3 linked regions of the Rattus norvegicus genome follow. The protein of the gene in region 2 purifies or fractionates together with the protein of the main gene of each other region. This does not show direct contact. Links are inferred from orthologs where the notes say so. Each region holds a gene or a part of one and is shown on either strand. Other genes may lie near its edges. The genes, in order: Mapk3, Ptpn5 and Atp5po.

Region 1 (9,871 bases), about 84 Mb from region 2:
GTTAACAAGGATAATGTAGGGTGGGCTAACTCACTTGAGAATGAGAGAGCCAGGCTGTTCCCCGGAGGGCCTAACCGAGGCATGTCAGGTCTTTTTTTTAAGGTTTATTTTATTTATTTATATACTGTACACTGTCACTGTCTTCAGACACACCAGAAGAGGGCACCAGATCCCATTACAGATGGTTGTGAGCCACCATGTGGTTGCTGGGAATTGAACTCAAGTCCTCTGGAAGAGCAGTCAGTGCTCTTAACCTCTGAGCCATCTCTCCAACCCCGTCAGGTCTCTTTACTAGGCTGACCAACCCTACTACAACTTCACTGACCAGAGAGAGGTTTCCATCAAGGTTTGGATGAATTTCTTCTAAAACTGCATAGAGAAATTAGTCTGCAAGTTGGTGTGTGTGTGTGTGTGTGTGTGTGTGTGTGTGTGTGTGTGTGTGTGTGTCACAAGCCCTTTAGTGTTCATGAATGCCAGCAGGAGCTGTAGTGGTGCAGGCCCATGATTCCAGCATTGGGAAGGCTGAAGCAGGAGGATTGAGAGTTTGAGGCAAATATACCAGGCCTTCTCTATGGCTTAGTGCAGTGGTTCTCAAGCATCCCAATGCTGGGACCCTTTCATACAGTTCCTTACATTGTGGTGACCCCGACCATAAAATCATTGTCATTGCCACTTCACAATTATAATTTTGCTACTGTTATGAATTTTAAGTATTGTGTCTTCCAGTGGTCTTAGGCAGCCCCTGTGAAAGAGTTGTTCACCTCCAAAGGGGTCTTGACCCACAGGTTGAGAACCAGTAGCTTAGAGGACAAAAGTCCTTGCCACGAAAGCCCAGCAACTTGAATCCAATCCCTAGGACCTACCTAAAGGCAGAAAGGATGTTGTTTCTGGCATACACACACACACACACACACACACACACACACACACACACACACACACACACACAGACACCACGCGTACATACGCACACACACCCCTCTGTAACAAATTAAAAAAATAAAACAGGTGGTGACTCAGTTGGTAGTGTCCCAAGCATACACAAAACCCAGTGTTCAGCCTCTAGCACTGAATAAAACCAGGTAGAGGCAGGAGGATTAAAAATTCAACGTCTTTCTTCTCAGCTACTTCGTTTCAGGCCAGCTTAAGATACATAAAATTCTCTCAATAAAACAAAACAAAATAAAAAAGAGGTCACTATCCTCTTTAAAGGGTCTTGGGATTGGAGAGATGTGGAGTGGTTAAGAACTCACTGTTCTTCCAGAGGATCTGAATTTGGTTCTAAATATTCATGTTGGGTGGTTCACAACTTCCTGTAACTCTTGTTCCAGGGGATCTGACATACTCTTCTAGCCTCTCCAGGGAACTGCACACGTGTGGCATACACCTGCACAAACACACACACACACACACAGACACACACACAGACACACACACAGACACACACACACACACACACACACACACACACACACACAAATATTTAAAGAACCTGGAGGACTCTGAGGAAATGAGGAAACTGGGGATCTCGGGTCATTGCCACACAAATTCTGGGCAATGTGCCCTGAGCAGAGAGGTGCCGAGCCCATCTCACCACTGGTACCTGTTGATGATGGTGGGCAGGAAACAGAAGAAAAACTTCTCAGGGATGGAGACAAAAGGCAGTAGCCCCAGGTAGTAGAGCAGCAGTATCCAGAATGATCGCCATATTGTGAAGGCCGTGGGCATCTCAGGGTTCTGGGAGGCAGGGGGAGAGGTGAGAAGGTGACCCATCTGTCTGTCTCCACCAGAGACAGCAGAGAGGTGGTACTCGCTGAGAGGGTCAGGGCCGGACATCACGGTCACACCTTGAACAGTATAATGGTTACTCTGTCCACTTGATGGGCCTAAGAAGTAGTACTAGGAGATTGGTGAGTTATACCTGAGGGCACGCCTGAGGATGTTTCCACAAAATTAGCTATGGGAGAAGGCGCCCCCTTACTGTGGGCAGTAGCTTTTCCGTAGGCTCGGAAGGAGCTTGTAGGGGAAGAAGCAGCCTGGCATCTGCTCCCAAAATGGTATATCCTGTTCTCCCCACCTCCCGGGCCCAAAAAAATGGGGAAGAAGGAAGAAGTCAGCCCAGGCGTTATCTCTGCTCCTCCTAAGCTGTTGTTGAGCTCTCTTGACCTCTAGCTTTGGGCCCAAAGTGATATGGGTTAAAATCTCTGAACAATGACCCGTGAGGTATGGCTTGAAGTCTGTCACAGTAGCAAACACCTGACCAACAGCCAGTATGGGAGGCTTCCCAAAGCAGGCCTCCTGGCAACACCATGCCAGTACACAGTTATGTCTGACTTTTCCAATCCTGCTCTTGGAGACCATGCTGAAGGCTAGTTCCTGGGGCCCTTCCTTGGGCTGGGGGTGGCCTCTAACCCCACAACAGAGAAAGAGGGACTCACGGCAGCCTTGCATCTCTTCATGATTGAGTTCTTCTCTGAAGTCCAAATAGTAATCTCGTTTCGGTTAAAGCGCCTCGCCATGTTGGCTACCTACAGTAGAGACAAAGGGAGGAAGGGAAGCCAGGCCTCTCTTGGGCCTGGCCTCACCTGCTGGGCACAAGGTACTACCTTGTGAATGAGTTCTTCATTTTTTTCTTTGATCTCCAAGCACATGGGAGTCCTTGGAAATTTCTGGAATACATCCTCCAAACTAATCATGTGCCGGTCTGACCCGTGAGCAAAATGGCCTGGGGGGGGTGTCACAAAAACTGGGGTCAGAGTGGGATAAACGGGCTAGAGGGAGGGGTTTAATGAGCGTATATGAGAAGGCGGCTAGGCAGTGCAAGGACACACACATCCTACCTGGCGAGAAGTAAATCTCCAGTTCTTCCTTGTAGAGGGGCAGTTGCTGTGGAGAGCAGAGAAGCATCATCAGGGTGCATGTGTCTAAGGGTGGCAGCTCTCAGGCTGAGGGGCTGCAAAACTCACCGCAAAGTCCAGGGTGTTTATATCCTTATTTAGGCCTGACTGGCGGGACAGGTTTTTGTCGTGTGACACTACCACCACGCCATCTCGGGTGAGCTGGCAGTCAAATTCCAAGAGATCTGCTCTCTGGGCCATGGAACTATGGGAGCAAAGGTTGGTGGGGGGAAAGGGGACAAAGGAAAGACCAGGGCATGTAGTGGAGGGGAAATACTGGCACAGAATTTACGGTGGGACATGTGACCCCCATCTACACAATTCCAGGGCTTCTAGATACCCGACTGACGAAGCCGGTAAGTAGCAACCCTGGTTGCCCCGCAGAGCACAACCCAGGACCCCACAACCTTACATGGGACTTGCTGGGGCTTGGACTCACTTCTCTATTGCCTCCATGGTGTTCTCCAGCCGCTCCCCAGACCCTGTGGAAAGCAGTTTGGGTGGGTTCCTGGGACCTGGCTTGACCTTCCTGCCTACCTTTCTTCCTGATGGTCATCTGCTTGCTTTAGGCTTCTTCTCTTCCAGTCAGCTGAACTGGCCTCTGCTTCCGTCACATGCCCTCCAGTTGCCGAGACTCTCCTTACCTCGCTCTTGGTTTAACATTCACTCCTGCCCTGCACCTTGACAATGTGCTGCTGCCCACCATGGCACCTGTCTGGTTTGGCTCACTCTATCCTAAATGGATTCCATCCCTTCCACATCCCTGATTCAGCTCACCTCCACGGTGTGCAGCCAGGCGGATGGAGAACCCTGGAGCCCAGGGTGTGTGCAGCAGGTGAGGTCGGCGCAGGAAGAAGATGGAGAGAATTACATAGCTGCCCAGGGTGGGCAGAACGAAGTACACGAGGGGGATCATAGCCTCGCTCCACAGCAGGCTTCTGTCAAAAGCACTGCCTTCCCAGTCCCAAAGGGCTCTGATGCCTGGGGCCGAGCCTTCCTGCTGAGCCAGTGCAGGCTGGCTCCACCACGGGGCAGCACCACACCCATGGACCTGCTGAGCCTGCTGGGTGCTGCTGGAATGTGGCCAGACTGCAGTATGGCCCAGAGCTGGGGCCAGGCGCAGGAACTGAGGCAGACAGCCCTGGGTCTCTCGTTCAGAGACCCCAACACCCCCTTCTGTTCTTGACCCTGTGTGTGGGGGATTAAGCAGCCCAACCCCTACCCCCTAGTTTTTGGATCTCTCTGCCTCCCATAGGTATTCGTGGACAGAAACTTTAATTTACTACCTTTGCCACTTCCTAGGAATTTGGGGATGTGTAAGGTGCCCCTGAGTCACCCCAAATCACTCCAGGCAGTTAAACAGGAAGCTCTTAGGGAAGACAGTGACTAAAGGGAGACTGACCCCTTCCCAGGAGACTGGCACTCCTTAGACCCAACCTCATCCCTGGCGAGCTGGAGCCAAAGACTACCAGGACCATGTGAAGGCCGGGCTGGAGGTGGGGCAGTAATGGGTGCAGCATGTTGGTCGCGTCGGCATACACAGACAGAGACAGAGCCATCCATATACACATCTCTATATTTATATATTAGATACAGGCACAGGGAGGTGGGGAGGGGCACGGGCTCTCCACGGGCCCCACCTCCACATCCAATCACCCACACACAGAAGCAGCAAGGGCGTTACATGTGGCAGCTTGAGAGGGAGAGGGTTAGGCCTAGGCCTGGCTCCTCAGGGAAACTAGCCCTTGAGATTTAGGAATGTTCTGTCAGGGAAAATGGGGTGGGGTTCCAACAGGATGAGTAGGGCAGAGCTTAGCCTACTCAGTGCCCTCCACCCCTCTGTAGCACAGGTCCTAGGGCGGTCATAGCCCTTCCATTCCAGAACCGTCTACCAGAGCTGGGGCTAGCAGGGATAGATAAAGACACAGCAGCAGAGATCAGCTCTGGGACCACCTCATCACTCAGGTCAAGGGGAGATGGGGCAGGGGACTGGAGTGGGAGAAGCCTGCTTGAAGCAGGAGACCCCAGCAGAGTGAGAGGGGGTGGCCAGGCCCACCCTTGGTCCAGCCTGGGCTGCCGGGGTCCGGGTTGAGCAAAGTTCATTTTCTAACAATCTGCAGAGAAGGAGCAGGTAGGAGCAGGACCTGAAGAAAGAAACAGACAGAAAAGAACTGTCATTTGGGTGAGCCTTGACTCCAGTGCCTCTGGTCTGTCAAGTTTTGTGGGTCATGGATTCCTTATCTGCAGTTAACAAGAGCAGCCACCAAGTGCTACAGTGATTACGGGCTCCCCTCAAAGTCATCATGGTATACTCTGCCCGAAAGGCCTGGAGTGGCTCCTCATAAGGGGAGGATCCCTCACCTTTGGGTTTCAGTGGATGCTGACAAGTGGGAATTGAATGGGGCTGGAGGGTGTGTGGTCACATGTGACTAGCAGGCTCTGGCCCTTTGTTGCTACCACACATGTATTAGATGAGGAAGCACTCAGGCTGGCCAGCCTCTGAACAGGATGTGGCTATGCAGAGGCATCAGGAACCACTCACCAGGTCCAAAAGGACAGGGGTGTCTGTTCTTGTTAGGGGGCCTCTGGTGCCCCTGGCTGGAAGCGGGCTGTCTCTTGGAAGATCAGCTCCTTCAGCCGCTCCTTGGGGAGATCATCCAGCTCCATGTCAAAGGTGAATGGCTCCTCAGCCACTGGCTGGGGGCAAAGACAGTAAGGCACAGGCCGGACACTGGGAACACTAATTCCCCTCCCAGCCGCTGGTGGCCGGCTTACTTCATCTGTCGGATCATAGTACTGTTCCAGGTAAGGGTGAGCCAGTGCTTCCTCTACTGTGATGCGCTTGTTTGGGTTAAAGGTTAACATCCGGTCCAGCAGGTCAAGAGCTAAGGCAAGGCAGGGGGCAGCAGTCAGGAGGAAGGCAGCTCCACAGACATGCCCCGTCCAGTGCCTAGGGGCCTATCTACTGAGGCAGGCGTTAGCGTCACACACCCTTCTTGGCTGCTGGGTTTTAGCCTACCCCTGGCCCTCTTTCTCACTCACCTTTGGAGTCAGATTTGGGAAAAAGCTTGGCCCAAGCCACCTTGGTTTTAGAGGGCAGAGACTGTAGGTAGTTTCGGGCCTTCATGTTAATGATACAATTTAGGTCCTCTTGGGATGGGGAACCCAGTATACCTGTGGGTAAACCAGTTGTCTTGTGAGAAGTCAAGTCCTCTTTTTGGGAACAGGTCAGGAAGCAAGAACAGGAGTCCAAGCCTAGCCACCACACTCCCCATCTACCCACTGGGTCAGTGACGAAGAGCTGAGAACCAGGGAGTCCTGGACTCAGATTCTGGCTGCAGTCTTCCTTAGGTGTAGGGCTTAGCCTTGCTTCTCCCAGCTTTCAAATGGGAAGAACACCTTACAGAAATACCGTGAGATGCTGGAGAGGCTCCACATGTGGTACCCAAGTCTCGACTTCCAGAAATGTCACTTCTGATCCGCTAACCCCCATCCCTCTCAGCCAGACAGGCCCTTTCACCTAGAATGTGGTTGAGCTGGTCCAGGTAGTGCTTGCCGGGGAAGATAGGCCGGTTGGAGAGCATCTCAGCCAGAATGCAGCCCACAGACCAGATGTCAATGGATTTGGTGTAGCCCTGGAGAGGAGAATGTGCTGAGCTTCCTGGCCAGCCTTATCGGGGCCACTCCTGGTATCTGGGATAAGCACTATAACCAACTTAGGTCTAACCCAGCAAAAGGCAAAGCAAAGGACAGAGACTAGGAAAACTCTAATCTCTACATCTTGCTAGAGCCCGAGGGCCCGAGGGATTGTGCCAAGGTCCAGGGATAGCTCTAGGACTCCCTTGCAGACGTGGGTAACTCTCCTACCTTGGAGTTAAGCATGATCTCTGGGGCTCGGTACCAGCGTGTGGCCACATACTCGGTAAGAAAGCCAGTGTGGTCGTGCTCAGGGTCAGCAATCCGGGCAAGGCCAAAATCACAGATCTGGAATCAAACCCAGGTTACTGAGCTAGGTGCCTAAGGCCTCCACAGCCTAGTTAGTGCCCCTGCCCTGCCTATTCTGTTCTTGCTTGCCATGTTCCAAGGCTGCTTTTGCTGGCCACCCAGAGGCCCCAGGAGGAGAGAAAGAAAGAGAAGCAGACATTTAACCTCTGACCTTAAGGTCGCAGGTGGTGTTGATAAGCAGATTGGAGGGCTTCAGGTCCCGGTGCAGCACATTGGCCGAGTGTATGTACTTGAGGCCCCGGAGGATCTGGTAGAGGAAGTAGCAGATGTGGTCATTGCTCAGCTGCTGGCTCTTTAGCAGCTTGTACAGGTCCGTCTCCATGAGGTCCTGAACAATGTAACTGAGGACGCCTCCAGAGACCCCCACGTTGGGGGGAGTAGGAGACACTTCGTTAAGGAAAACAGGCTCTGACCTGGTCGTGTATTCCCTTCCAGCTAGGGTCCCTTGGCCTCATGAGCTTCACAAGACTTGGAGCTGACAGTGTGCAAGGTACATCTATTCTGGGCCCTCAGTTTCTCCCCTGGGCAAATGAGGGCTCTGCTGGATGGACAGTAGTGGGAGAACGTAGGAAGAACGGGAGGGAGCTCTGAGTTAACCCACTCATGCCTGAAGTCCTCATGTTGCTGCCACAGCTCGATGTTCTTAACCTGTCCACACCACCTCAGTCTCCTGACAAGCAGGGAGAGTAACTGCTCTTCAGAGGGTGCTGTGAGCATACGATGCACACGGAGAGCGCTCAGCAAACAAGGAGCAGTGTTGTTACTCCATGGGCAGAGCCATGTGGCCGCTGAGTGGGTTAAATGAGATAATGCACGAATACCATCTGGCACACAGTGACTGTTTGCTTAAAAATAAATGCCTGCCTTGTGGGGATGATTTGTGCCAGGAAAGTGAGGAGACACTCCCCACCACAGTGTGCTCCTACAGAGAGCTTGACCGTACACCAGAAGGTGGAGAACTGAGAGTCCTTTTATACTTGAAGATAAAACAAAGACTAAACACAAACAAATGTCATCTGGCTTATCTTTGGAAGAGTAATCAGGAGCTGGGCAGAGTACGTCACTCCTACAATCTCAGCACTTGAAGCAGAGGCCAGAGGCTTGCCTAGAAGTTTAAAGCCAGCCAGGTCTACAGAGTTAGCCTGAGGCCAACCAGGGATACACAGTGACACTTTCTCAAAAAATGAAGTCTGAACTGTCTTCCACAGAAGACATGTGAGAGCTGGGGCTGGTGGCACCCAGGATCTCTATGAGTTCAGGGCTAGCCTGGTCTACATAGGGAGACCCTTTCTCAAAAAGAAGAAGAGAGAACAAGCATATGCAGATACACACACATGGACCAACCCTGCCGCTTTACAAATGTGGAAGTCCGGAGGTGCAGAGACCTGCTGAAGGTCATGCAACAAGACAGGAGTAGTCGATTTCCTGTGGTCAGAGCTGCAGAGGCTGCAGAACAAATCCTGGGATCGGGAGGGGTGGGTAGGGAAGAGGCCATGGGTGCTACAGTCTACTAGCAATGGCGCCAAGCAGGAAGTACATGTGGACAATGAACTAAATGTCTGAACTAGGCAAGCAGTGTCAAGCAAGGGCAACAAGGGCTGGACTACCTTTCCTGGTCAAGGTACAAGGCCGCAGGTAATCAGGGTGGGGCTCTCAGAAGAGTGGGAAGGCTCCAAGAAAGCCAACTGGGGAAGAAGAGGAAGCAACAAACAGGAACAGCTGAATTTAGGCTTTCTTCTATAGGCAGACTCTCAGGGCCCCTCGTCCTTCCTTGAGCCCCTGGCTAGACCAGGAGTGCAAAGGCGTGGCTCCGCCCTGTGAGTCTAGGGTCTTCAGGTTCCTCCTCTTAACAATGCAAGGTGGTGTGAAAGCCTCCACCCTCTCCACGTTGGAGAAAGTATCGCCCCTCCCCCACAGAAGGCCCAGCAAAACACAGAGCCTCAGTTTCCTCATCTTAGAAATGGACGCGGTAAAGCTCATCACACAGGGAAGCTAAAAGGTTGAATTAGAACCAAAGCGCTAGGCATGCCCAATGCTGGTTTTCTTCCTCGCTTTCAATCCAGTGTGAGGTCTCTAAAGAATCGTGAGTCTGTTGAGCAAGAAAGGGCTGTGGGCAGAGACTGGGTCATGTCACAGAACTGCAGATGTCAGAAGACAAAGCTCCCATAGAGATGGTTTGCCCAGCATTCTCCCCTCCCCACACACCATACTGGGGCACAGAGCAGAAAAGGATGTGTTCAAGGCCACTCCACTTGGCTGCAACAGACCAGGATCCAAGGCCTGCCAGGGTGCTCTTCTGCTCCGTAGACTCTCAGCTAAAAAGTTACTTTGCTGGGTTTTTAAGTTTTTTGGTTTTTTTTGGTTTTTTTTTTTTTTTTTTTTTTTGAGGGTGGCACAACAGACGACAACAGAAAGCAAAGCCAAGCTCCTTAGCCTCGCTCTGGAGCTGTGGCTAAAGGATACACATCTCTCATGGCTTCCAGGGTGGGTGCTCTGAGGATGTCTCGGATGCCTATGACATTCTCATGGCGGAATCGCAGCAAGATCTGGATTTCTCTCAGCGTGCGCTGACAGTAGGTTTGATGCTCGAAGGGGCTGATCTTCTTGATAGCCACTCTGGTCTTGCGCACGTGGTCATATGCTGAGCTGAGAGAGCCAGAGAGATGTGTGGCCTTACAAAGGGGGAATCCAGGCCTGGTGGCCCCACCCAGGCCTTGGCAGGGACCGGAGAGAGCAGGAGAGGGTTCTGGCCAAGTGTAAACAATGCTGGCTCCTTCCTGCTGTGAAGGCCTGGAATCTCCAGGGGGAAAGCTGGGGACCAGCCAGGCAGCCTTTCAGTGACTTCACAAACAGAGGAAGAGAGTGGCCACTCACTGACTTCCTTTCTCCTGGACCCTCTTACATTGTAGTTGCCCTCACCCTCCTCCCCTTTCCTGAGCTGGACTCTCTCAATCCAAGACAGGTCCAGG
Region 2 (9,653 bases):
TCTGCACATGTGTGTGGTGAGGGTTTTTTTAAATTATTATTTCTTTTAATTCTAACAAGAACCCTAGGAAGGTGCCATTATCTGCATTGTACAAAGACTGTATAGTGTATCCAGAGACAGATTAGAAGAAACTGCACAGGGAGGCATCCCTGGGCAGGCATCCCACCGGCCATCAGTGAGGGGATGGAGTTGGGGGTGAACCTAAGAGTTAGAGCCAGTTTGGAGGTACAGGGCTAAAACTGGTTTGCTCAGCAAGTACGACACCATGAACATAGACCCGCATGGGTCTGCAGGGCAGAGGAGGGAGGCATGGAATGGAAAATCAAGAAAAAAGAAAGCCAAGTCGTGAAGATCACGAGTTCAAGGTCTACCTGGACTACATGAGTTTATTAGTAGTAAGCCACTTGCTGAGCCTCTGCCCCAAAATTTAAAAGGGTAGGGGAGCAAGAGAGCTGGGGTCTTAGCTCAGTAGCTGGGTACTTGCCCAGCATGCACAAGGCTCCGGGTTCAGCCAGTGTAAGGGGAAATAGGAAAAGAGACAAGAGAGGGAGGCTGGGTCCAGAGAGGCTTCACACACCAGGGTGTCTATCAGACACAGAGCTGCTTCCAAGGGACAAATGGCCTTAAGGGATGGAGAAGCAAGCTCTTTTTACTAGGCAATCGGGGAGGGTTCCTAAAGGAAGTGACCTCAGATAGATGTGCGGAGGCGATGAAGGTGGGCAAATATTATTAAATAAAGTGAACATCACAAGCAAAAGTCCAAGGAGAAGGTGACAGACAGCAGGGATACACGTCCCCAGAGCTACCTGACTGGCTGCTGCAAAGAGAGCAGGGAAGGAGGTGGTGGCTGGCAAGGTCGCTTTTTGTCTTGTTGTTTTCTCTTGGCCTTTTATTGAACGTCTATCACAAACCAGGCTGGCCCTCAATAGACAACTGCCGTGCTATTTATTTTATGCCCTTGGCATATGCCAGTAACTATTCTAAATGGGTGTGTGTGCTAACTCACTTGGTAGGAAATGCTTGTCAAATGAATGCATGAACTCATGACGGTCCCTGCACTGGCATTCGGAGGCAAGCAGCCTCTGAATTTGGAACCTCTGGGAAGACCATCCTGAAGCTGCTCACAGCCCCATGTCTTCCTATTCTAGGAAATCCCCATGAACTTTGTGGATCCAAAAGAATATGACATCCCAGGGCTGGTACGGAAGAATCGGTACAAAACCATCCTTCCCAGTGAGTACCTGTTGCCCCAGGGTGGGGAGAGAAGCGGGGTCCTGTCATCTGGGAAGGACCTCCTCAAGTCCAGGGCCCCTGGGGATGATGAATGATCATCACAGGAGATAGAGTGGAGGCTGGGACAACCAGGAAAGGGAAGGGAATGAGCAGGGACGTCTTCACCTTCTGTCCCTGGACCCTTGCCCTTCCTGGTCAGTGGCATAGAGTACAAGAGTAGAAGCACTTACAAAAAGGGTGGCTCTGAAGCAGTGAAACGTGTGCATGGCCTTTCCCTTCTGAGAGGGTATATCATAGTTTAAGAAAACATTCATGGTTCATTCAGAGAAGGTAAGTGGCTTCTTCCACGTCAAACCACACAGCTAGTAAACCAAGGCTTTAAACCTGGGCTTCTATGACTACCTGTGTCCTGTATGACCTGACTGTCAGTCCTCTAACAAGTCCAAAGGGAATGAGGTGCTGTCATCCTGTAGTGATCTGTCTATCATGGGGTGTATCCAAGTGAAGCTATCCTGTAGTGATCTGTCTATCATGGGGTGTATCCAAGTGAAGCTATCCTGTAGTGATCTGTCTATCATGGGGTGTATCAAGTGAGGCTATTCTGTAGTGATCTATCATGGGGTGTATCAAGTGAGGCTATCCTGTAGTGATCTGTCTATCATGATATGTATCAAGTAAGGCTATTCTGTAGTGATCTGTCTATCATGGGATGTATCAAGTAAAGCTATTCTGTAGTGATCTATCATGGGGTGTATCAAGTGAGGCTATTCTGTAGTGATCTGTCTATCATGGGGTGTATCCAAGTGAGGCAGGCTACCTAGTGATGCCCCTGTAAGGCCTGAGCAGGGCTTGTCTCCTTCGGAAGTACTTAGACCTGGCGACCTACCATTCCCATTCTACCCCATGATGCCATTGTCAGGTCATTTTCATCAAGACCCTCTGGGGGGCTACCTCATAAGGGAAGGGGTGGCTTATTGGAAATGAGCCCCCCAAAAACCTACTCAACCCAGTGTGTGGAGTAGTGAGCCCTTAAAAAGCCATCAGCATCTCCAACAGCATGTAAGATGTCATGACTTATTTTTAACTTTTAAAATATCGACTTGTGGTTGCTATGGTTACACAGTCTCTAGGTAGTTACGTTTAAACAAAGCACCATTTAAGGCCAGGATGCCTTATTTGGGCTGCTCACTCACCTCTCTTCTCAACTTATCCTCCCTGTTCCTCTTCTTCCTGCAGGCAACAGCCTGGCTACCCCAGGACCCAGCATTTTGCTTTGCTCCTTAGAATGGAGCTAGCCATACTCTGTGTGGTCCTGCTAGATCGTTGACGGGCTCCCACCTCCTCCAACCATACCCCGAACCTCCAGGTTCCCACACTCAACATAGAATGTGGTACAGCCAGGCAGAACTGACCCTGAACCTTAAGAAACTGGACCAGGAGTGGGGGGTAGGGACAAAGAACATGGAAGGCCCATCAGAGGCAGCCTCTGTGATCAGGGACACCCTGAGATTTATTCTGCCACTGATCACACACATTTCCTGAGGCCCATCCCAGGGACTGAGAATTTGGATGCTGCACACAGAGCTTGGTGTCCAGCAAACGAAACAGCTCTATAAACAGTCCCAGGGTAAGCGCCACATCAGCAACCCATGCGAAGATCAAAATTCAGGGTCACAATGCTGCCCCTTAGTACCTCAAGCCCCAAAAGGACTGCAAGCAACTGGGAGACACTCTGGTTCTTCTTGAATGAAAAGGTGGATGACTCCCTCGGATCCAGCCCCCTCCCTCCCATCCTTACTATCAAGTGATTTTGTGAGTGTTCAGTCTTCCATATTGTCCACTTTTAATGAGCACCATTTACATAGGGTGCACTGGCATAAACATCTCTGGGAGAGACAACGGGCAGGACAGCCTGTGACCTTGACACTTACCGGATTGCGGCAGTCATATCCTGACTTGAGCTTTTTCTCCTTCTTGCCTCTCTCTCACAGTGAGGCAGAGCAGAAATCTAACCGTGTCCCCTTCTTCCTTAAACACAGTCAATGTCACCCTCTCTAGCCTGGTATGTGACACTGTCTGGCATCTGGCTCCTCTCCAGCTTTATCTCTCACCAGCCTCAGCCTTGGCCTGTGCACTTGGTCAGACAACATGTTTGCTGTTTTTCTTCCTGGTCCTTCAACCCCTAAAAGGTGCCACAACCACCCTGTGCCAGTCCCGGTCACCTCTGTCCCTCAGCCCCAGAGCTCTCTTCCTACCCAATGCTATGCTACCTTTGAGGCAGGGATTATTCATCTCTCGTTGATCTAGAAGGCTTTTCTCACAAACATAGCATAAGCAGAGCTGGTGTGAACCTGCAGTCGTGACTGCCACCACAGTGACTCTCTGATTGCCAGAGAGGACAGCGCCCACAACTGTCCTTCCAGCACCTTAACCTGGATAGGCGAAACCAAGACAGTCTAAGCAGAGCTGTCTGCTTGAGCACTCTCTTCTGTTGGCCATGCAGAAGCCCCCCTCCTGCCTACTCTTACTCCTCCCCTCCCCTGAACCACTTCTATGCGCTCTCGACAAGAACTGTCCACACCCTTATCACCCCGCCACGACCTAGGCAGAGATGGAAATGAGAGGCGGACACCCACCACCTCCATCACTGCCTCAACAGCTCCAGGTTCTTCTCCATCCCCATGGTCTGCTGGACCCTCATGATCACGACAGCTATGTTTGTTACATAGCATTTGCCATATGCTGTCAGGTGCTGCTCTTGGGCCAGGGGCTATGGGTTTTTCCTTTTAGCTCTCTTTCTACTATTATTTATTTATTTTATAAGCACATGCATATAAGTGTATGGGGCACACTTGGGGAGGTCTGAGGACAACCTGTGAGATTCAGTTCTCTCCTCCAGCACAAGGGTGCCAGGGACCCAACTCAAGTTGTCAGGCTTGGCAGCAAGCATCTTTACCCTCTGAGCCACCTCACCAGCCCCTGTTAACTCCTTTCATCCTTATAAGATGAATGCCTTATAAGGCATCAGGGAGTGACTCTTCACGACATTCCGAGACAGCACATACTGAAGAAATGTGGGTGCTGTGGAGGAGGAGGTTGGGCCCAGCTCACACCCTCACCTGTCTCCCACCACAGATCCTCACAGCAGGGTACGTCTGACGTCACCAGACCCTGAAGATCCTCTGAGTTCCTACATCAATGCCAACTACATCCGGGTATGTAGCTCCACCCCCAAGAGTCCTCCACTAAAGGAGAGGCATGAGCTGATGAGATCTATCCTTCAGACTTGTCCCCCAAGCAAGTGTGGCTCCTACAAGTCCTAAGAGGAGCCTGAGTGTGGGATGGGGCCCCGGGAGTGCCGCCTCCGACCCTGACCTGACTGGGCTGGACTTGGGTGGTTGCAGGGCTACAATGGGGAGGAGAAGGTGTACATCGCCACCCAGGGACCCATCGTCAGCACTGTGGCCGACTTCTGGCGCATGGTGTGGCAGGAGCGCACACCCATCATCGTCATGATCACCAACATCGAGGAGATGAACGAGGTAGGGACCCCGTGCCACTGCTCCTTGCTCCTTGCTTTGTGCCCCATGTGAAGCATCTCATTTGCATATTAATCCTTCTGAGGATCCTGTGAGCCTGGCATGCACTCAACTGTCCACACAAGGAAATGAGAGGTGTTGAGAGCTAAGGTATACACTCAAGGCAGCACAAAGCTGAACAGGGCTGGAGCCGTCCCACCCACCCGGTCCAGTAGCCATGATTTCAGCCATGATCTTCTGCTGCCTCCCAGTCTGCCACTGATGTGCAAGTTCACGATGAGTAGGCTCCTTTAATTGAAATCTCCACTTAAAAAAAAAAGAAAGAAAGAAAGGAAGGAAGGAAGGAAGGAAGGAAGGAAGGAAGGAAGGAAGGAAGGAAGGAAGAAAATACCCCTCAGAGAGAGGTTGAAGAGAGCTCTCAGTTGAGGACCTGAGCTTTATCCCATGTAAATGAGTCCAGATGTGGTGCATGCAGTTGTATTCTCAGTGCTCAGGAAGCCAGGAAATGGGCAGATCTGGAGCTCACTGGACAGCCAGTCTAGTTACTTAGCGAGTTCCGGGAGATCCTGTCCTAAAAACCAAGGTGGACTGCCTATGAGGAACTACACTCACACTTGAGTTTAACTCTGACCTCCACATATAGGCACACAAACACTCACACACACTCACACACACACACTCACTCACACACACTCTCACACACACTCACACACACACTCACTCACACACACTCACATATACACACTCACACACACACATACACACTCACACACACTCACACCCACACTCACACACACTCACACACACTCACACATACTCACACACACTCACACACACATTCATACACACCTTCACACACACACACTCATGCACACTCACACACACACTCACACACTGACACACACAAAGTCCTATAAAAGGGTACCATTTTCCTTTTTCTTTCTTTTTTTTTTTTTTTTTGTTCTTTTTTCTTTTTTCGGAGCTGGGGCCCGAACCCAGGGCCTTGCGCTTTCTAGGCAAGCGCTCTACCACTGAGCTAAATCCCCAACCATTTTCAAATGGGGAAACTGGGGCTCAGAAATGAGGAGAAGGCCACAGGTTATGAAATCGAGGTTTCAACCACAGACCTCTAAACCGAAGTCTGTTGTCCTTGTATACCTGTCTGCTGGCCCCAGTGGAGCAGGAAGGGATGTGGAAGAGGAATAGGACTGTAACCCAGCCTGATCTTGGTCCTTGCAGAAGTGCACGGAATATTGGCCAGAAGAGCAGGTCGTCCACGATGGCGTAGAGATCACTGTGCAGAAAGTCATCCACACAGAGGACTACCGGCTGCGACTTATCTCCCTCAGGGTGAGACCTGGACCTAGACAGAGAAGGGCTGTCGGGGAGGCTTAGTTGAGACCCCCCACTGAAAACAGTACTGAGAGGCCTACTGTAGGTGACCTGTGGGCCCACAGCACTCCCAGGACTTACTGGTAAGCAGGGGTCAACAGACTCAGACACTAAGAGAACCTCGGCTGCACTTTGCACACCTTGCACGAGTGTGCACTGAGCTCTTGCTGTGCACTGCTGACCATAGCAGCTCCTCTTCACCCCTTCTCAAGTCCAGAACCACCTGGGCAAGGAGGCTTCGAGGGCTCCCAGCGTCGTCCTTACCTAACTGAGAGTTCCTTATGACTGAGTGACAGTGATGTCCCTTCCCCTGGGGTGCTGGCTTCCGATCTGATGCACCCCAAATGTCCACCAGCAGAGGGCAGGCACTCCTTGCTGCTTCGGGGCACATGGTTATGGTTACAGGAATGGCAGGAAAAAGGAAAGCACACAAAATCTGAGCAGCATGAAGCAGCTCAGAAGAGCGGAGGACAGTGTCCTCTGGCTGCAAGGTTGTGCTGCTTCCGGGATAAGCAGAAGAGGAGAGATGTTCCTTTGGTACATCAGAAGGTTCTGAGTTTGGAGAAGTGATAGGATGTGTTTGTGGAGGGTGGAGTCCCCTGTGATAGCCCAGAAAGGTAGAGAAGTTAAGTCAAGCACCAGGAAGCTGATGCCCCATTCAGAAACAGCCTGACCCTGATGCCATAGGGTTCAGCCACAGAAAAGAGCTCAGGGCCTGACGTTTGTGCCTCTGAGCTGCCCTGTCTCTCACTGGATACAGTGCTGGACAAGGCACCAGGGCGTGTTAGCCCTGTGCTGTCAAGTGGACACTGTCCACGTGACCATCTAACGCCAAGACTTCCTGGAAACCCCGAAGGCCAGGGAGTGAGGGGCAAGTGCTGTGGTCACTGTCACAGCAGAGTAACTCAAGGACATGAGGAACCATCTTCCAAATAGAGAGGCTATGAGACAGGCTAGAGAAGAGACAGGACATCTCGCGGTTTGAGGGTGCTTCTGAGCACCTGCTCTGTGGTTCTGGGTTGGGTAGTGGGGGGGGGCATAACCGCGTCCTGGACTCTCCCTTCAAGGAGCACCCGTAAGGTGGTAAACACCGACTAGAGATAGGCAAGGCTACAGAAGGACAGTCTGCTGAGTGGCTTATCTGTGGTGGAGGCTGCTTCCAGGAAGTGCTGTATGGGGTGCTGGGGGATTGGTGAGGGGTGACCGGAGTGGGCTCTTCTAGCACACAGAAGGCACAGCTACATGGGCAGCACACACTCGTGCTCATTTCCTAGATTGTGTCCTTACTTCCTGGGGTCTCTAATCTAAGGGTATGAATCACATCTGAAGGGGTGGACTCCTGACCCATCTTCAGATTCTCCCAAGGCAGAAAGGAGGTCTCAACATACAAAGTTGGGGGAGGAAGCCACCGCATTCAGCCCACATGAAGGGTTTCTTGGTTTGGTGTGGGATTAGAGATTTAACCCAGGTCCTCACTCACACAAGGCCAGAACACACACATACACTCACACACTCTCTCTCTCTCTCTCTCTCTCTCTCTCTCTCTCTCTCTCTCTCTCTCTCTCTCTCTCTCTCTCGTTGAACTACATCCCCAACCCTTTTGACTGTTTTCTTCCTTTTGAGACAGTCGAGACAGTCTCACCAAGTTTCCAAGGCTGGCCTGGAACTTGCTCTGCAGACCATACAGGCCTTGAGATTGTGCTCTCCCTGCCTCAGGCTTCCAAATAACTAGAATCATAGGCCTGAACCATTAGACCCAGACAGCAAAAGGTCTTAAACACAGTGCAGTGTCCAGATCTGTGTTGGGGGGCAGACAGTTTTGATACCATGGGTCATTGGCAGTCAGGGAGGAGGAAGGTTGGATCTTCCCACCCTGGGATGATAAAGCAAAGAGGAGGCTAGCAACGGCTAATGAGGACAATGGGGTGGGCAGTCATGGTGCCTGTGCTCTTGGTCATGTGACTAAGGGATACCTGGAACATCTGGCAGGATAAGGAACTTTCAGACAGTAATAAATTAGAGAAGAGGGCCTTTGCCTCTCTTGGATGATTTTAGAGTTTAGAGGTCAACGTCACCTGCACACACACGTGCACACTGATTGGTCTTGTGCCATTAAGCAATAAGGTAGATGGGGGACTAAGGATCCCTACTCTCCCCTACCTTTCCTCCCTTCCCATCTCCATCTTTGGATCAATTAGGTCTGAAAGCATTCACATGTGTCTGGGGGTGGGGGGGGGGACTCTCTCTCTTTCTCTCCTGGGCAGAGAGGGACTGAAGAGAGAGGCTTGAAGCATTACTGGTTCACATCCTGGCCTGACCAGAAGACCCCCGACCGGGCACCCCCACTCCTGCACCTGGTACGGGAGGTGGAGGAGGCAGCCCAGCAAGAGGGACCCCACTGTTCCCCGATCATTGTTCACTGCAGGTAGGTTCTCCTGGCCACCCACTGGGGCAGGGCCACCCCCATTCCTGGGCTGCCTTGTCCCTCACCCCATCATCCCATTGGCCCTCAGTGCAGGGATTGGGAGAACCGGGTGCTTCATCGCCACCAGCATCTGCTGCCAGCAGCTGCGACGTGAGGGCGTGGTAGACATCCTAAAGACCACGTGCCAGCTCCGTCAGGACAGGTCAGCCCACCGATCAGGGGAGGAGAGGGTGGCAGTGAAATGTGTGCGTGAATCCAGGGACAGTCGACAAACCAGACATGGTGTGTAAGGGAGCAGAAAAACCAAATGGGAGAGAGCAGAATCCAGTCAGCTCTCTCCAGGAGGAAGGCAGAAGAGAGGCAGCCAGCGGGAAGGACGGGAGCTTGAAACAAAGGTGTATCCCAGGAAGGGGCAATGGCTGGGGAGAGTTGGTCTCTCTAAGATGCAGACCAGCCGGTGGCCCTAGTGTTTGGGGATCCCCTCCTGCAGCCTACTGCATCTCTATTGGCAGGGGCGGCATGATCCAAACATGCGAACAGTATCAGTTTGTGCACCACGCCATGAGCCTCTATGAGAAGCAGCTATCCCTCCAGTCCTCAGAGTGACCACACTCTTCCTCTGAGATCCACTGGGCACTGCCGAGTCTGAGGCTGGGGCTTCACCCCAACTACCCAAGGTCTTACCTTGGGTCCTGGGCCTGTTCCCTGGCTCTCCCCTTCAGTCTGCCCCCATCTGTTGTCCTGGCCTGGTCCCTACCCCAAGCCTAGCTCTTCTACTGTACATACTGCAGAGTTCGGGAGGGCAGGGGAGGAATGTGCCAGGCCAGGCCTGGGGCCCCTGGGCCTGACCCACACTATATAGACCTGGGGCCTCAGTTTTAACCATGATTCCACAGCTACTTGGTCCAAAATGTTTTCATGCCACACCCCAAGTGTCCTACCACAACATGTTCTGTCTGTCCATCCATCACAGCTATCTGTACCAAACACTGTGTCCCCTCAGCCAGGAAAGGAGTACTGATCTGAGCTCTCACCCCTCAGCCCTCACCCACATCGCTATTCCC
Region 3 (9,966 bases), on a different chromosome or scaffold from region 2:
AGCTCCCAGGAGGGGCCTACTTCCCTACTCCTCTCACTTCCCAGAAAAATATCCAAAGTCCAGGCTGCTCCTGGGTGCAGCCCTTCTGTACTTGAGCACCTCGGATGTTGCTTCAGGTGAGCCAGGGAGGGTCAATGAACCAGTTCTCGCCTCGCCTCCAACCCCTGCTCCCTGAGAGAGCATCCCAGATGACTTTAGTTAGTGGTTAGTTAGTCCAACCCTACCCATCTGCCTCTCAACTAAGAGCTGGCTTCTGGTGATTCGGGTGAATACTGATCACTCTTGAAAGTCTAGGGTGCACTAAAAGGACTCGTGACAGTGTGAGCACTGGGCCAGCACGTCTTGGAGTACGTTGTATGCCTCTTACTACTGCCAGCCATAGGCTTCATGCTGCTGGAGGCTGGAGTGGAAGTAATGTCCTGACTGCAGAGGTGCGGGCAGCTTTACTGCAGGATGCTGCCTGGGCCGTGCAGAGACTAGAAATGACTGTGTGTTCTGCAACCGTCCCTAGTCTCAGGCCATCAGAGATCTCTGCTCAGATGTAGCCTGGGAAGGCTGTCAGGCCAACACGCAGACCCACCTAAATCTCTGGCTACCAGAGACCTCATTCCTTCTCTCCTGGAATGCTGGCCTTTGGGCTGGGGTGGTCATAGTCTGGGAAGATAAGTCACCCACACAATTGTCCCTTGTCCTAGGTGTTGTGAATGTGCAGACAAGAGAAGTTAGGATGTAGGTCCTCCCCCGGTGTGTTGGTGAGGTTAACCAGCCATTGTGATCTTTGTAGTAGGCCTTGAGGCTGGTGGCACGTGGTTCCTTCACAGCCTTGCCCAGCGGCAGAGCAGGCCACTCCCAATACATGTCCTGTGCATTCTAATACCTATTTGTTGCCAAGTAACAGTACTTATGAAAAAGAGATCATATCTGCTTTGTAACATTAATGGAGTTCTAAAGAAGTATTAGACGTTACTATAAATTACAGAATGCCACTCTTATCTAAGGTTTGCTAGCATAGGGCCACACTGCTTCTTCTCTGTTTAAGAGCAGGTTTTTAATTTTCTTTATTTATTTTGCGGTTGGAACACCCCTTTGGCATCTGCATGTGAATCTGTCCATTCAGATCAAGGCGTCAGGGTGTTTTCTGCTTTCTTTGCAGCACAGGCAGCGTTGGCAGGAGCCGCCATTAAATCGAGAGCATAAGGACAACCTCCTCAGTTGATTCTGGGGTCCTTTTGACCTGCATGGTTTAAATCACATAGTTCATGAAAGTAAGAACAGCCAACCTCACGCTCAGGTTGAGCTCTTTCTGCCTTCACTCCTCTGCAGACACAGGATGCTAAGAGCCCTGAGACAGGTGTCTCTACTTACGTCTATTTCCCAGAGATAAGGTTGTAGTTGTACAAGAAAAATGATGCAAAAATTAACCTAGAAAAACAAAACAAGGCAACCGCCACCTTCTCATCTCTCCTGGGATAGCAGAGACAGACTCGTGTTGAGTATTCTTGAGAGCATGAGAAGTGCTGAGAACAGTCATGGGGTGCCAAAGGCAAAGTCAGCAGGTCCAGAAAAATACAGGAGACGAAGCCACACCACACTCCTACACAAGTGCTTTTCTGCTTTCTGGGCAGGGCCACACAAGGTTGGCCTTCAACTCCTGGTCTTCTTGTCTCACCACCCCAAGACTGAGGTTCCAGGCATGCACAACTGGGTTCCGTGTGAGACTTGTGATGCCCTCATGTGTTGTGTCCTGAGAACCCAGCATGGATGCTACACTGTGCCCACACACAAGGACTGTTCAGTTGCACACGTCACAGGAACCTTCCCGTCTTGTTTGCTTGCTTTCTCATTAGTTCTCGTCTCCCACAACTTGGTTTTGGAGGACTGCATGGGACTGGGCTGTTTGACTTGACATTCATTTATACTAATCTGTCTTAAGTACCAAGTGGCACATTTTGACATCTATTTTGTTATTATTTTTACTGTTATGTGGGGGCGTGCATGCACACACAAGTGTGTCTTACTGGAGGAGCTGCAGTTACAGGTGTTTGTGAGCTGACCTGAGTGCTGCATTAGAATTCAGTACCTCTGAAAGAATGATAAAAGCTTCCCCACCAGGCTGTCCTGTATTGGGTTGTTCTTTTTTTTTTTTTGCCAAATTTCTCTGTGTAGCCCAGAGTGTTCTAGAACTTACTCTGTAGACTAAGCTGTTTTTTTTTTTTTTCGGAGCTGGGGACCGAACCCAGGGCCTTGCGCTTCCTAGGCAAGCGCTCTACCACTGAGCTAAATCCCCAACCCCCTAAGCTGGTTTTGAACTCGAGATCTGCCTGCCTGTCTCCTGAGTGCTGGTATTAATGGCATGTGCCACCACCACATAGCTTGTTCTGCTGTTAGATAGGGTTTTGATATGTAAAGAAGGATGGCATCAAAACTCATAATCTTCCTGCCTCAGTCTTGTGAGTGCAGGGATTATGGGATGTGGCACACACCAGGCTGTTTTGACGGTGTTAGGAAGGGCATTGTTGTAAACTGGGTGTGTGATGTCTGAATCTCAGCACTTGAGAGGCTGCCTTAGATTCACGGCCAGCCTCATCTACAGAGCTCCGGGCTGTATGCCACATTAAGTTACCGTGGAAAAGGCTCTGGGGTCATCTTTGGCAACTTCAGGATGCCAAGCTCCAGGTATTCCAGGATTTGTGTGCTTCTTCAAGAGGAAGCTGGCTGAGCCAATTCTCAAGGATCTGTGAGCTGTCTGTGGCAGGCATTGCCTATAGGAGCCTTGGAGTTAGAGTGTAAGGCTGCTGGTCTGGTCATCAGGAGGAAGCTGGGCTTCTTTGAGAATGGAGTGTGCGTTGGGGATTTACTTCAGTGGTAGAGCGCTTGCCTAGCAAGCACAAGGCCCTGGGTTCGGTCCCCAGCTCCAAAAAAAGAAAAAAAAAAAAAAAAAAAGAAAGAAAAAAAGAAAAAAAAAAAGAAAAAAAAAAGGGGAAAGATAGAAAAGAGAATGGTGTGGTATGGTCACACTCAGCAGGAGGGGAAGCTCAACAGTGTGGGATGCAGCTTTAGCACTGGGTCATTCTCCTTGTGGTGGGAGCCCAGAGGTCAATGGGGAAACCTGGCAAGGCGTTGGTGCCTTTGACAGCACTGGCCTTGGCACCCAGCCTGGACCCGGCCATCTCAACTGGATGCAGTTGGAAAAACCCACCAGTGTGGACTGCCAGGCTGCTGCGGTGAAGGCAACCTGGGACACGCCCATTCCCTCGGTTCTACCCGCTAAGCCTTACCTGTGGTGAGGCTCCTCAGACCTGGCCAGTGCAAGCGGTTAGCTGCACTGTGAGCAGCGAGTGAGAAATGCTATCAGACCTGTCCTGGCATTCTTGGCCCCTGGAAAGCAGAGTCCTTTGTGCTGTAGTCCTGTTGGGGTCTCTGGCAGGTGGCTGCCAGGCCCGATGGGCCGGTGAGGGCCCACAGCCATGCTGGAGCAGGCAGGGAGTGGAGCCCTGGGCCCGCCCCTGCCCTTGAGGACTTGCTGCACTCTTTCTGCCCATTCTTGAGGTATCCACCAGGAGCGCTCTGGAGTAGTCAGAGTAGTCTGTTAGGCAAACACTCTTGGGAGTGCTCAGGGAGGGACTACAGTCACTCAGGGAGATCTGGCTGCTCCAGCAGCCTCAGAGGTAAGCTTCAGGAGGAATGTGTGTGCTGCTTGGCTTAGGTGAACTCAGAACACTGGGGGAGGGGACATGGGACGTGTGTGTAGCCTGGTGGGCTGGCTCCAGCAGTGGTCAAAGCGTGCCTTCTGTCACAAGGGAACAGGCGTGAGCTGGAGATGGCAAATGAGGGTCCTGGGGCCTCACCACCTGCTGCTTAGCCATGTCGCTCTGAGCAAATCACAAGACTGCTAGGAACACAAAGTGTAGTCTTGAATGTTAGAGCTTCCTACAGTTAGGGGCTCTGTGTCAGGATTGAGAGCCTTTCAGTAGGGAGGTCTTCATGACTGGTTAGGGACCACTTCTCAGCTCCCTTCAAAGATAGGAGATTTTGATAGGCAGTACTAGACTATATATGTAGGTACAATGCTTACTGAGTCAATGAATTCCTACGAATGACACATACAAACTAAATCCTCCAGCCCAAAGGACTTTCTAACCTGGAGATGAGAGGATTTGTCCTGTGGGAGGTTGAAAACCTGGTGCTGCCCCTTAAAGGACAAGGGCCCTCACGTCCTCTGTTCAGGAAGCATTTTATTGTGCTCCAAAGACAAGCGCTCACACAGGTGACAGTCTCTCAGAGCAGATCCCGCATGGCCTTGCTGAGCTTCTGAATCTTGCTCTTTGCAGACATATCAACGTATTTCTCTCCAATTCGGACAATCATCCCACCCATGATTGATGGGTCAGTCTAGGAAAGAAAACAGGCCGCACACATGAAACACAGCGCAGATGAGAACATCCCGGGGTAGGCAGGCCACCCACCACACAAATGGGAACTACACCTGAGTCAGAACCATTGTGTGTAAGCCCTGCCCTGGCACTAACACACTCCACAATTATGCAAACCCACCTTGACCTCCAGGTTCAGTATCTGGCCTTTACTCAGGAAGCTATTCAGCACTGTCTTTAACTCAGAGAGAACAGCTTCATCTAAAGGCTGAAAAAGAAGCAACAATCCTTTAAGCAGAGCACTACAGCAGCAAACACAGTCAAAGGAGAGAGAAATACCACAGTGGGTATGAAACCAAGACAGGCCAGTGACTCCTGACTGACCTGTGTGCACATGTGTATGCATGCATGCACGAATGTGTGAGTGTGTGCTTGAGTGTTTTGGGGTGGGGGTGGGGGCCTGGGGAATGGCCACACCACAATGCATGCTCTAATGCACAGGTTTTAGGCAGAGGGCTTGGCCACACAAGCTCCCCACCCCCCCAACTGAACTACAACCTGGATGAGGCCAGGGGCTGTACACTACTACTCATGTGTTGCATCAAACACCTTTCCTGTTCTGGTTGACCTATGTCATGGGGAGAACAATAAAATGACTTGTCGCAGGGCATATAATGCATAAAGAGTATGGGCCTCTGAGAGGAGAGCCTGTGTTCAGATCCTGAGCCTGTCTTGTTGAGCTGGGCTTCCTGACTGTAAAATAAGGACAATTACAGTTCAATTGGATGCCTATTTTCTGAGAGCAGTAACACATTACAAGGTCCCCAGCAGATGGCAGCCCTGAAGAACGGTGACTCGTTAACATTTCATTCCAGTGGATCAGAGGGCCTGTGCACCCCAACCCACAGGTAAATGCTCCCATCCCATTTAAGACTTCAGGTTGTAACAGGGCCTAAGTCATTATTTCATAAAACACTCAGACCCCCACGACTAATCACTAATAGGACACACACTGGGTCTTCTGAGTGGAAGTTGACAGAACCTCACGAGGGACCAGCCATGTCCCCAGTGCAGCAGCAAGAGCTGTTACTTACAAATGCTGTGGTCACTGTGCACGGCACTTCTCCACGGTGGACACTCATGATGGTGGAGAAGGCAGAGATGACGCCCTGGGTGTTGCCTAGGCGACCATTTTCAGCAAGTAAATCTGGGAAAGTGACAGGAAACTCACTGAGCCACCGAAAGCAATGACACCTTGTAGCCTGAAAATACCATACTCAGTCCTTTAAGGATATGAATGGGGTCTGGAGAGGCGCTCAGTGGTTATGAGCGCTGTTTTTAAATACCCAACAGGGATTTAGGAAAAGCCCACTGGGACCCCAGCACTCACTCATGAGGTTGGCCGTCAGCGGAGAGAATTTTTCCTTTGTAGTGATGTCCTTCAGGCTTTTCACTTTGATGGAGCGCTTAATGTAGGGATTCAGAACAGCAAGGGACACCTTGGGGTCCTTCAAGAGTTGCTGAAAGCACACACAGTCCCAGCTGACTTCACATGGGACTAAAACCATGTTTTGAGGAACCTCAAAAACACCTTCTGGAGTTTCTTGCATGCATTTTTAAGAAGGATCACGAGAATTAAGCAGCCAAAGTCTCACCATGTATGACACGGCAAGCCCGCTTTCCTCACAGCACCACCCACAAGTACAGAACCCTTGAGCTTCTGTGTCTCAGGAGACCCTAGGTGTGCCCTCCCTCCAACAGAGGTCCTGGAACAAACCTAACATTGAGAGACTGGTCTGAGAGGGCGAAAGTCACAACACCTTGTCAATCCATCTCATCCCCTGCTCTCAGCAGCCGCCCAGGGCTCTAGGACCCGCAGCAGTTCTTCCTGGGTGGGCACCTTCCTGGTAAATGTGTCCTCCTGCTTGTCAGCTACTCCCAGCACCTCAGTGGCTCCTGGCCAGAATTTAGGCCATTGCCATAGAATGCAAAGACTTCCATGCTACGATTTACACTGGAGAGGCTGCACAGTTCGTGTGTCTGCTAGCAAAATCCAGGAGACAGTCAGGGTGACCTCTTTTATCCACACCCCTCCCCACCCTCATAATCTCACTTATGTTCAGAACCTCAGATAACTGTCACCCCTCTTTTTCCTCTATGACAGACTTCTGGATTTTATTAAGCCAAAACCTAAGTCATTGGAAGAGGGAGAGAGGAAAGGGGGGATGGGAAAAGGGGGGGCAGAGAAAGAAAGAAGGGGGGGCAGGGAGGGGTGGGGGTAGGAGGGCACGCACCTGTACCTGTGTGGGTCACAGTGAATGTGTGCAGGACAAACAAGGGGGCCCTACAGCCTTAGACTCGATTTTCTCGTTCCACCATGTGAGTCCCAGAAAATGAACTCCAGCTGTCAGGCTTGGGGGCAAGTATTCTTACCCAATGAGCCATCTTGCCTGCCTCAACCCCATTCTAATGTCCACCGTCTAAATCACCATCTTGATGGTGAACAGGACTTCCTGGCTCAGGGAGAGCAGAACTGACCACACGCAGCCGATAAACAGAGGACACGGTGTTATCCTGTGTGGCCGGGCCTTTTCTCTTCAGTAGATGTGTGGATTACAAAATATACACCATTCTTAAAACATGTAACTGGAAAACCATCTTTTCTCTTAGCGACCGACTTTATTCTCTCTCAACTCTTCCTTTATGGGAGCCCTACAGCCTTAGGGGCAGCTACCCCAGAGGAAATGGAAGGGGTGGCCTCTGACCCGAGTCACACTTGGGTTTCTGCTAATTCACAAGGCTGCTTTTCCTCTTCTGTGTTTCAGGAGAAAATGCAAAGAGGAAATTGCAGCCTGGGCAGCTGCTGTCTCACTTTGCTGGCACCCAACTCCGACTGTGCACCCAGCCATTCTTTCTTCACATCTTGGGACCAAAGTAATTATACAAACCCAGGAAGGGCAAGATGGCCTGAGCTCAAAGGTGCTTGCTACCAAGGCCGCTGGCCTGAGTTTGACCCCTAGAACTCACAGTGTAAAGGGGGAGGACTCTGACCTCTGCACTTGCACTGTGCGTGCCTGACACTCCCCAACTCCCAAGAAAGAAAGAAACGTTTAAAAAAAAAATAATTAAACCCAGGAAAAGTTTCTAAAGAAACGTTCAGGAAGAAAATATAACTTCAGTACCGTGAAGATGGAGTCGAGGACATTTCTCCCACTCTAGGCTTATAAACATTAACTCGGTCTTTAGATTCTTGTCTAAAATGGCGGGTGCTCTTGAGTTACTTTTATTTTCTAGCTGAAAAACTTGGGTTCATGGTAATGAACTTATGCATCTCCTGGCTCACATTACAGAAAAGTTTCAGAATAATAAAGCTGTCTCATCATCAACAGCATGTCTGCAGTAAACATTCTTTGTAGTGTCTAGTGCTTCTCTTTAAGGTCATGCCCTGTTACAGTAACTGAAGACAATGTGGGAACAGGTCCAACAGGAGAGCTCCTCACCCCCACTCGCAGCAACTCCTTTTCCACCTGGTCCAGCCTTTTCTGCTTAGACGCAGCAGAGTACAGGGCGGTTGCATAGCGGCCTTCGATGCCGTAGACCTGGACAGGGGGCTGGAGACAAGAGGAGGAGGGGAGTGAGGTAGCTAAGCCAGGAACAGAATCACTCCTAAGCTAAGACCACGTTCCCACTGCCACACCATTTAAATACTTCACCAAGGGGCAGCCTAAGTGAGAATTCACAAACCAGGGATGACTCCCTGGCCAGGACCTGCCCTAACTTTGGAGGGGCAGGGAAGGCAGTGTCCCGTGTCCCTCCCAGCCTCCCTGCCTGCAACTGTTATGGCAAGCTTTTGCTTTCTTTGACCTCATGACCCCAGTGACAGTGCTGTCCTTAAGCACAGGAGTTTACTTAGTACCATGGCAGGCAGTTGTGAAGGTAAGCGGAGGGGGACAGCGTGTAAGAAGTGCAGGCGTGCGTCCCCATCATGGTAATGGTGTTTTATGAAGTTCTCGGGAGGGATAAAATGGCTCCACCCACAGAGGATGAAGGGATTTGGTGGTGTTAGGAAGTGTAGTGTGTACTGCTGTTAGTCCCATCTCACGTGCCCCAGAGCATTCTGCCTTGCTAGTCCTGAGGAGAGTGTGAGTGCAGTGACTGACCCAGGTGTCAGAGAGCACACGGCAGCCCAGAGTATCCTTACATTCTGCCATGCATGAACGAGTAATAAAGGATTACAAAACAAATGCACACACAGCCACACTCCAATCCGAATTCCGTAAGAGGGTGGAGCTGCCTGCATGGGGGTCAGTCAGACTCCTGGTTTAAAAAGAAAAGGGGTGTTGGGGATTTAGCTCAGTGGTAGAGCGCTTGGCCCTGGGTTCGGTCCCCAGCTCCGAAAAAAAAAAAGAAAAAAAAAAAAAAAAAGAAAAAAAAGAAAGAGGCCAGCAGACCTCTGCAATGCTCAGTCAGACTGTTGTTGGTGCCTGGAACAGTACCTGTCAGTGTTGACTCTACTTGAGGGAAAAAAGGTGCAGACTGCAGGCATACCTCACTGCTGCCAGAGTCAAGAGGCAACACAGAGTATCGACTATGTTAGAATCTGGGTACTTTACTTTCTTTTGTTACAAATAGCTCCTTCATAAAAAGAGAAGGAAAGGCTAGCTTGTCTATGGAGGAATACTAGAAAAAACAATTTAAGATTCTTTTATACATACCCTGTGTGTGTGTTGTCATCACCAGCCTTTACCGACTGAGCCCTCTTGCTGGCCCAAACAAGTACATTTTAGAACATTAAAGACTAGGGTTGAGCCCACCCTATGTGACAGGCACCTGACAGCATCCCCTGCATCCCAGGCAGTCGTTTGAGAACTGCTATCCTTGCAGACCAAGTTTAGTAATCGCACACACACTTCACGGTGTTTCTGTTCAACTCACTCCCTCACTGCTTTCCAACCACCCCCCCCCCACAGACAAATGCAAGCTGACATACCCTTACAAGCTTCGAAAAGGGCCTGACCACAGATGTGCTGAAACTCCGCACCTTTAGAACAGAAGAAAATAGATGAGACAGGGTTTCTGCATTAGCTTAGCAATAGGTTAAAATATTCCAATCAAAGAGCTGCATAATTCTTTTACATTATCGTCACAAAGCTTACATGACTGGGAACTGCTCCTTATTACCTATACATTCCCTATTGAGAGTCACCCCAAACTGCTTCAGAAACTGTCTTTCAACTGCCTTCCTCCCTGGGTAGTTGAGAAAGAAAATGCTAGCTTCTCAAAATTGAATTTAAAAAAAAAAAAAAAAAAGTCAAGAGCTTTATCACATTTGAGGAAAATGCTTTAGCAAAGTGGAGGATTTATATTTCTATCACCTTTGGGAAAAACTTTAATGAACATAAGAGGAGGCCAGCCTTGATTCGAGTAAACCTATGTGCTAAGGAATTGAAGTGATATCAAACACCAAAGATCTTTTCATATAGCACCAGGCACTGAGTCTGTCACTGGAGAAGCCTGGAATGCCATTTAAAAAGCACCTCTCAAGGGCACAGGTCACTGTCTATACTCCCATCTCTAGGGTGTACTCGACTAG

The links.
Region 1: the proteins of Ptpn5 (region 2) and Mapk3 purify together in Homo sapiens (affinity purification with mass spectrometry; 4 studies listed by BioGRID and IntAct, with this or other methods). This does not show direct contact. The link is inferred for Rattus norvegicus from reciprocal best matches to the Homo sapiens genes PTPN5 and MAPK3.
Region 3: the proteins of Ptpn5 (region 2) and Atp5po purify together in Homo sapiens (affinity purification with mass spectrometry; 3 studies listed by BioGRID and IntAct, with this or other methods). This does not show direct contact. The link is inferred for Rattus norvegicus from reciprocal best matches to the Homo sapiens genes PTPN5 and ATP5PO.

Annotation. Positions count from the first base shown.
Region 1 is NC_086019.1:190,797,995-190,807,865, reverse strand, and holds the end of Mapk3 (mitogen-activated protein kinase 3), read right to left. Parts: intron 9,549-9,871; coding exon 9,366-9,548; intron 7,244-9,365; coding exon 7,054-7,243; intron 6,882-7,053; coding exon 6,765-6,881; intron 6,533-6,764; coding exon 6,418-6,532; intron 6,072-6,417; coding exon 5,940-6,071; intron 5,783-5,939; coding exon 5,673-5,782; coding exon of another isoform or gene 5,595-5,672; coding exon 5,472-5,594; 3' UTR 5,440-5,471; intron 5,042-5,439; 3' UTR 4,455-5,041; downstream 1-4,454. Other genes in the region: lysophospholipase D GDPD3, read right to left, coding at 1,604-1,737, 2,439-2,528, 2,607-2,725, 2,841-2,886, 2,967-3,102, 3,337-3,379, 3,675-3,813.
Region 2 is NC_086019.1:106,757,411-106,767,063, reverse strand, and holds part of Ptpn5 (tyrosine-protein phosphatase non-receptor type 5), read left to right. Parts: intron 1-1,148; coding exon 1,149-1,233; intron 1,234-4,368; coding exon 4,369-4,448; intron 4,449-4,637; coding exon 4,638-4,775; intron 4,776-6,011; coding exon 6,012-6,122; intron 6,123-8,428; coding exon 8,429-8,589; intron 8,590-8,677; coding exon 8,678-8,791; intron 8,792-9,101; coding exon 9,102-9,195; 3' UTR 9,196-9,653. UniProt on the Homo sapiens protein: May regulate the activity of several effector molecules involved in synaptic plasticity and neuronal cell survival, including MAPKs, Src family kinases and NMDA receptors.
Region 3 is NC_086029.1:44,646,954-44,656,919, forward strand, and holds the end of Atp5po (ATP synthase subunit O, mitochondrial precursor), read right to left. Parts: intron 9,415-9,966; coding exon 9,364-9,414; intron 7,985-9,363; coding exon 7,874-7,984; intron 5,894-7,873; coding exon 5,764-5,893; intron 5,581-5,763; coding exon 5,468-5,580; intron 4,642-5,467; coding exon 4,555-4,641; intron 4,393-4,554; coding exon 4,279-4,392; 3' UTR 4,218-4,278; downstream 1-4,217. UniProt on the Homo sapiens protein: Subunit OSCP, of the mitochondrial membrane ATP synthase complex (F(1)F(0) ATP synthase or Complex V) that produces ATP from ADP in the presence of a proton gradient across the membrane which is generated by electron transport complexes of the respiratory chain.